Linked DNA regions of Rattus norvegicus. The protein of the gene in region 1 binds, or shares a complex with, the protein of each later gene. Links are inferred from orthologs where the notes say so. Each region holds a gene or a part of one and is shown on either strand. Other genes may lie near its edges.

What was found. Proteins that work in one complex are often made in the same cells at the same time.
Region 2: the proteins of Ckb (region 1) and Asb9 are in contact, whole or in part, in a cryo-EM structure (PDB 6V9H), measured with the Homo sapiens proteins. The link is inferred for Rattus norvegicus from reciprocal best matches to the Homo sapiens genes CKB and ASB9. Residues at the interface, in NP_001814.2 of Homo sapiens: Asn63, Pro64, Gly65, His66, Pro67, Tyr68, Ile69, Thr71, Arg130, Arg132, His191, Val198, Ser199, Pro200, Leu201, Leu202, Leu226, Trp228, Glu232, Ile238, Met240, Asn286, Arg292, Gly303, Lys304, His305, Glu306, Lys319, Arg320, Gly321; in NP_001026909.1 of Homo sapiens: Leu25, Asn27, Pro28, Leu29, Met30, Gly31, Asp32, Ala33, Val34, Ser35, Asp36, Trp37, Pro39, Glu42, Ile45, His46, Trp60, Ala67, Asp68, His69, Glu75, Ala100, Asp101, Trp102, Val111, Asp133, Leu134, Ser165, His166.

Annotation. Positions count from the first base shown.
Region 1 is NC_086024.1:136,550,604-136,555,162, forward strand, and holds the start of Ckb (creatine kinase B-type), read right to left. Parts: upstream 2,862-4,559; 5' UTR 2,800-2,861; intron 2,557-2,799; 5' UTR 2,536-2,556; coding exon 2,343-2,535; intron 2,156-2,342; coding exon 2,001-2,155; intron 1,923-2,000; coding exon 1,790-1,922; intron 1,611-1,789; coding exon 1,439-1,610; intron 863-1,438; coding exon 739-862; intron 629-738; coding exon 439-628; intron 360-438; coding exon 181-359; 3' UTR 1-180. UniProt on the Homo sapiens protein: Reversibly catalyzes the transfer of phosphate between ATP and various phosphogens (e.g. creatine phosphate).
Region 2 is NC_086039.1:33,587,911-33,590,913, forward strand, and holds the end of Asb9 (ankyrin repeat and SOCS box protein 9), read right to left. Parts: intron 789-3,003; coding exon 664-788; 3' UTR 574-663; downstream 1-573. UniProt on the Homo sapiens protein: Substrate-recognition component of a cullin-5-RING E3 ubiquitin-protein ligase complex (ECS complex, also named CRL5 complex), which mediates the ubiquitination and subsequent proteasomal degradation of target proteins.

The DNA.
Region 1 (4,559 bases):
TTATTTCAGTGTCTGCAACAGCTTAGCCATCAGAAAAATAAACTCTACCCAGGGCGACAGAAGTCTCTACAGCGAGGCTAAGGGCTCAGCCGCCAGGCGGCAAACATCAAGGATGCATGGCGGGCACTGCCCGGGTAATAAGTTAGGAAGCGGCAGCCTGGTGGTGGCTAGGGCCAGGCTTCACTTCTGGGCAGGCATGAGGTCGTCAATGGGCTGACCCTGCTCAAGCCGCTGCTCCATCTCAATGAGTAGCTTCACTCCGTCCACCACCATCTGCACCAGCTCCACCTCCGAGAAGCCCAGGCGGTCAGCGTTGGAGACATCAAAAACTCCACCCACAGCAGCGGTGTCCACACCACCTGGGGATGGGAGACAGGCAGGTCAGCAGGGCTGGGGAAAGCCGCGTTTGCTGCTTCACCTGAGTCGTCTGCCCCTCACCTGTGCCTCGCTTCTGAAGCCGCAGTCGCTTGAGCACCTCCGAGAACTTCTCGTGCTTTCCCAGGTGGGGCAGCTTGATGTGCACGCCTGCCCGAAGCCCAGTGCCCAGGTTGGATGGGCACGTGAGGATGTAGCCCAGGTGAGGGTTCCACATGAACTCATAGTTCTTAGACTTGAAGAGAGTTTCAATCTGAAGGTGAAGGGAAAGTTAAGGGAAAATGTAGCTGGAAGCCCCAAGCACCCTGGGAAATGTGGACTCAAATCCCCCCGACCCCCTCCCTCCTTAGCACCAGGCCAGACCTGAGTGAGGCCAGTGCAGAATCGCGTGAAAACTTCCTTCATGTTGCCCCCTTTCTGCATGGAGATAACCCGCAGGTGGTCCTCCTCGTTGATCCACACCAGGAACGTCTTATTGTCATTGTGCCTGGAGGAGGGGGTCGGGCAGACCAAAGTCAAAGTCTACAGCCTTAGTTAGGTCACACCCAGCAGGACGCCCTAGGTGGGTGACCTCCAAAGCGCTTTCCAAGTGCAGGAGTGTGGGCTGTCTCTAAGACGCCCACCCAGCAACACTCGAAGGCAGGGAGACCAGGGCACCTCAATCACCAGTCATGTGCTGCGTGGCCCGCAAGGGGCTGGAGCAGCCAGAGCAGCCCACCAGAGGAAGCACGCCTCCGCCCGCGCAGTCTGCAGGGGTAGGAGCCCTGCCCGGACGGGTGCGGAGGCTTTTGCGTCACTGGCACCTGGCAGAATCCCGGCGGAATAAGGGGGTGAGAAGGAGGAGAGAAAACAAGAAGCGCCGGCTCCCAGGAGGAGGGCGGAGAACAGACGCCAAAGAAACTGGTCACCACCCTTGAATCCCTGGAGACTGCGGCCTCCCGCGGCGCAGGGACCTCAGTCATCCGCAGAACCAAGGTCACCTGCGCACAGTGTGGTAACGCACAATCTACGAATTCAGGCCGTGCCCCACCTTCCGGGGACTGTGAGGGAAGAGGGCTCGTACCAAATGCCGCGAGCATCCGGCCAGTCGCGGGCCATGCCGGAGGCCAGCAGCAGAGGCGACACAGGCTTGTCGAAGAGGAAGTGGTCGTCAATGAGCTGCTGCTGCTCCGCCTCGGTCATGCTCTTGAGCGCATAGTACCTGCCAGACAGGTCGCCATCTAGGCTGGACAGGGCTGCGGAGTACAGAGTTCAAGGACCCGGTGGGTGGGTGGGCGAGCTAGAAAGCTCGCCACCCCGCCCGCGGCAGTGTCCCCGCTGTCTTAGTTGGGTCTTCCACCCTCAGACCCCTGGGGGAATGCGCGCGCGCCCAGACAAGAACGCAGCAGCTCTGGTGGCTGATACCGGACCCTACCTTCTACTGCCAGCTTCTCGATGGCGCGGCGCTCCCCACGGCTGCAGTGAGGGGGGAGGCAGAAGCCGCGGATGCTTCGGCCTGTGCGCACCCGCGAGCTCAGCACGTAGTTGGGGTCCAGGTCATCGCCGCCCTAGGGATGCAAGGCAGTGGCCGGAGTGAGCGCCGAGACCCCCTCTCCCCAGCACGCCCGGACCCTGACGCCCCGCACCTGCAGGTTGTCTGGGTTGAGGTCAGTCTTGTGCTCATCACTGGGCTGGTAGCCGCCGTGCCGGTCCTCGATGATGGGGTCGAAAAGGTCCTTGAATACGTCGTAACTCTCCTCGTCGCCCGCCACTGCACCCACTGTCATGATGTACGGGTGGCCTGGAGGAGGGGCGCGGCGACAGTGACGTCAGCGCCAAGCTAGAGCAAGGCACTGAGGCCCTTATGGCTAAGCGCAGAGAGGACCAGGAGACCCCACCCCGCCGAGGGTTCAGGGAAGAGCAGTGGGATCCTTGCCCGGGGGGCTTGTTGGGGAGACGAAAGCCTGACGCTACAAGGGTGTGCATACCCGGATTGTCTACGCCAGTCTGGATGGCGTCGTCCAACGTAAAGCCGCTCGGCGTGCACTTGGCACGGAGCTCCGCGTACAGCTCGGGGGTCAGCACCTTGGCCATATGGTTGTTGTGGCTGCTCAGATCAGGGAATTCATCCTCGGCCGGGAAGCGCAGCTTCTGCGTGTTGTGGCTGTTGGAGAAGGGCATGGCGGCGGCGGCGGCGGCAGGCTGCGGGGAAGAGCGGGGTCAGAGGAGCTTTACACACCGGTCTCCAGAGACCTGCAGACCAATCCGGACCCCCGAAGCTTTCCTCGGACGTCACCAAGGTCAGCGAGGTCTGCATCTTTTGAGTCCGGCGCATCCCAAGTTCCCCGGCGGGTCCGGGACGCGCTCCGGGCAACGAGCTGCGCGTGATGCACCCAACCGCGTAGCGCCCCTCAGGACTAGCCCCTCACCCTCCGACCCGCTCACCGGGATTCCGGACGGAGCAGGAACGCAGACTGCTTGTGCTTGCAGCTCCGGGCGCAGCGCAGAAGAACGACGGCCGCTCGCTGCTCCCTGAGCTCTTAAGGGGCGCGTCGCCGGCCTCCCATTGGCGGCTATTTATAGCCCATTCATTCCATTGGCCCGCGCTTTGGGGTGGTGCCGCCGCTTTGTCCGAGGCAACAACCCTCGACACCCCCAGCGGCCCACCCCATGGGTCCCCAAGTCTCGACCCCGCTGCGCAGTTTGGTCAACCCCGTGGCGCTCGCTCAGGATCTCGAAGACGAAATCCCAGGACCGTAGATACCCTAGACCTGCTTCACACACACTGCCTCGGGGCAGGAAACTGAGTCTGGAAAGCCAGTTAGCACTTGAGGTTCCTGCCTTCCCTGCTTCCTGCCTTGTCAGGCCGACAGCAGTGTTGAGGGGGTCATGGCAAGAGATACCAGGTTTTTAGCATGGGGTACGGCTTCCATCCACTGCATCCAGGCGGTACAAAACGGTACAGGGGAGCTGACCTTCCTCAAGGTGCCTGCGGGCATCTCCTGGGTGTTCTTGGTGCAACACCAGAGGCGCAGTCTGGCTGCGGTCCCGCCCGGAAGCACCCAGGGTGTTCTGACCTTGGGCGGGCCCTAAGGAACCTAGCCAAGACCCTTGGACCCGGACCCTGAAAAATTCAAGACACTGAGCTCCTAGAGACTGTTTTTGAATCTTCAAATCCCCAGGTTCTTTCCTGAGGGACCGGTTTCTACCACCCCACCTACAAAGACAGTACCTACGGCAGGCAAACTGGGGGTGGAGGAAGCACCAGTCAAAAATAAGCTCATTAATCAGATCCACCAGATTGAAAGAGTCTCTTTCCCCCACCCCGTGTCCCACACACGCAGGTACGGGGAAACCTGGAATTTGACCACAGCCAGTGCCGGCTGTGAATTGGAATGTGTGAACACAGGCGTTCACACCCTGCCTCCAGCTGCCAGCAGTTTCATCTTCTCTGGAAAGTAGTTTAGCAGTACTTATTAAAATTTTTAAAATTGTTCCATGACCTAGCAATCTCACTTCTAGGAATCCAGCCTATAGAAAGACGGCGTCCCTTCTCTACGAATAGATCAGGAACCGTGCAGAGGGAGAGAAAGACACGCTTGGATTAGACCTTGATGCTCATGAGGGGATGGCCATAGGTAGAAAAGTGTACAGACGCAAACAGAGGTGAGGCCGGGCATGCTGGCATACCCCTTCAATCCCAGGCAGAGGCAGGAGGATCTCTATGAGTTTGAGGCCAACCTGGTGTACAAAGAGAATCCAGGACAGCCAGGCCTCTGTTCCAGAGAAACGTTGTCTCAAAAAAAAAATCAATATCTATACTTTCCTGTTTATTGTCTACTCACAGCCTCTCAGCCATTTCTGGGTTTGTGTGTTAGACAGAATATCTTCAGTCGTTTGTCTTTGACAGGCTCTATAGTCCTGGACCTCACCATGTAGACCCTACAGGCCTCAGAGATCTGCCTGCCTCTCCTTACCCAATTCTGGACTTAAAGACGTGGTCCACCCTGCCCTGAGGGATTGCAGTTCAAAGCCTAGCTTCAGAGAACTGAGAGCACACTTAAGCCCCAGAGGAAAAGAAGCTGAAGACACCTTTTGGGGGAGGCTGCTCCTCCTGCACCTCCAGCCACACGTGAGGGACTGGATGGAATAAAGATGGATGGAAGTGCCCAAGAGGCTTAGGGACCTGCCTTTCTGTGGAAGCA
Region 2 (3,003 bases), on another chromosome or scaffold:
TGCCCAGCAGAGTTCTAGAAGGTACTTACTATGCACATGGGATTTGAGGTAGAAAATAAACATGCTTCTAGATCTAATACAGTCAGTAGTACAGCAAAGGAGAAAAGGTTAAAAGTACTGACACAAAGAAGCATTGTCCTTCTTTGTCTCCCTTTCGGTGTCATGGAAATGGAACCAGGACCATAATGATAGAAAATTCTGGCTTAGCTGAAACCGTCCAGGTTAACAGCAGACAATTTATGTTTGCATCTGGCTCCCCTGTCCTTGATCTTGGTAATTGGATATATTGATCAGTCTGGGCTTCGGCGTATCACCTGGCAGAGGCAGTAAATAGGACCCACCTGGGCACTTGGCTGTGAAGGCTCAATTAGACAATGCTGAAAGTGTTCCTTGCTCGGTGATTGGCATGTAGGACATGTTTAAAACCAATAGCTGTTTTTAGACAATCACATTTAAGCAGAGGACAGGCAGTCTTCACACTCTCCAACCAAGACTATAAAGTACGTGGTGTGCTCTTATTCAAAATAAGGGTCTTACTGGAAAAAAAAAATAAAAAGAAAGAAAACACTAATCTGCCATCATAAACCTTAGTTTATTTGAAACTCCAATAGTAGGAGTTTCAACACCATTTTTCAGTTGCTTGTGGATCCAGTCCCTCCACAATTAAAGGTGCAAAAGGAAGCGCTTCAGGTCTTCCGGAAGAAGAAGTCCAGTAATCTTGTGATGCTGCCGAATGCCAAAGCATTTCCGGATTCTCAAACGGCATAGCTGCATCAAAGAGAGGGGCCCTGGAGAAAGAACATGGGACCAATCATGATGGTTTTGCTAATCTAGGACTGCCTTTTAAATCATGCAATATATATATATATATATATATATATATAGCATTCTTATACAAAAATGAGGGGGTTACCATTTTTTACTTCTTTTTTTTTTGAGATTATAATACAATTACACCAATTCCCCCTTCCCCCTCATCCCTCCAAACATTCCTGTATACTCTTTCTTTCAAATAAATTCGAGGTCTCTTTTTTCATTTGTTATTATTTGCATATATGAAGGAGGCATTTTTAGGCTATGTTCTCTGAGTGTATTTAACTGAAGGAAGATCATTTGATGTTTTCAGATTCTGTTATTCTTATCTGTATGTATATGTATACATGATAGCATGAGCACATGCTTGAGAGTACCATGGAGGCCAGAGGAGAGCATGGCACCACCTATGTTACAGATGGGTGTAGGCTGCCAGATGTGGGTGCTGGAACAGAGTGCCCGTCCTCTGCCATGGCAGGAGGCACTCTTAGTTGCTCAGCCGTCCTCATCCCTTACTGGATTTTAATTTAGGGCAGAGTGAAAGTTATCTACAACTTCGCCACCTCACTAACAGGTTTAAAGAAACTAATTTGGGGGCTGGGGATTTAGCTCAGTGGTAGAGCACTTACCTAGGAAGCGCAAGGCCCTGGGTTCGGTCCCCAGCTCCGAAAAAAAAAAAAGAACCAAAAAAAAAAAAAAAAGAAAGAAAAGAAACTAATTTGGGAATAAAACAGCTATGCAAAAGTTCCAATCGTAAAAAGTAAAATTCATATTTCATGATGTTGTCTTTTAAAAATTAAACCATATTGCTAGATGAAAGTATGTTTATAGTATTAGCAACTTAAAGGCATTCAAACGTGCTTAGCTCAAAGGAAATAATAAGTTTGTGTAATTCCTTTGTGTTTACTTTTCTCTTCTGTACTCAAAAATTTCCCAAAACTTTAGCTCATGGATGGAAAATGAACTAACATAAATATGCACAGGGAGCAGGCAAGAGTTTTCATTTTAGGATGACGGTTCTCAACAGGCTGGGTAGGAAGAAAGAAAAGAAAGGAATTTTCTTCCTAGGGGACATTAGTCAGTATCTTGAGGCACTTTTTGATTAGCATTACTTGAGAAAATGTTAGCATTACTTGCTAGCATCTGTGCACAGCACAGCTCCTAACTGACTCCAACTGCCAATGGTAACAAGGTTTAGAATCCCTATGATACTATAAAAGGTAAGGTATAATGACCATTCCTTGAACCAAATTAAAATGGGAATTCTTCTTCGGTAATTTTTTTTAAAAAAAGAAAACTATATAGTCATAATAAATTCCATAAGACAGTAGCTCTCAATCAATGGTGAAATTTAGATTTGGCTGGAGTTGGGGAAGTTTAAACTATATGATGCTGTGTCCCATTCCAGAGACATTGATTCAATTATTGCTGGTTTGTGCCTGTGCACCCTAATTTTATTAAAGCATGGGACCCAGGCCATTTTCTTGTGAAGTCAATCTTGAGACTACAATTGAAAGATACTCTGGCTTCTGCTGCCCTGTAGCCTTACCACAAGCTATAGGTAAACGTAGTTATGGATCTCTAGGGTGATAAGGAACAAGAAGTGAAGGCAAGTATAGTCAAAGGGATGTGTGTAAACTTTAGATGGAACCCTAACAGCACTTTCCAAAAGGGAGTGGTCGCAAGTGAAGGCACCATCAGATTATGTTCAAGGCACAAGCCAGCAAATTTCACAGCACACACTTTGAGAGAAATGGAAAGCAGTGTTTGAAGATGTGCTTAATTAGGGGCAACTCTGGGATATCCTCATGAAGGTCAACGAAGGACAAAACTTCAGAGCAAGCTTGTTGGGAGTCATTTCATGTTTTCAATCTTGGCCATGAAAAAACATGTTTTAGATGCCAAGCACAGGAGAGGCAGGGGAGAATATTCTTGAAATACTCCCCTTTAGCTTCCAGGAAAAGGGAGGAGATCTCCACCTTTCCTAACTTCTGTGCCAAGCCCAACTCACAACACAGTGAAGTTTCAGCTAATACTCCCAAGTCCCCATACCCTTGAAGAAAGACAGCAATTTAATTAAGTTGCTTCCCTGGGCACAGAGAGCCAGGTAAGCTGAATCATCAAGGAAACCTGGGGACAAGAACTGATATGTTCTACCTGAAGGTCGTACTTTTTCTGCTTGCCTGGGGC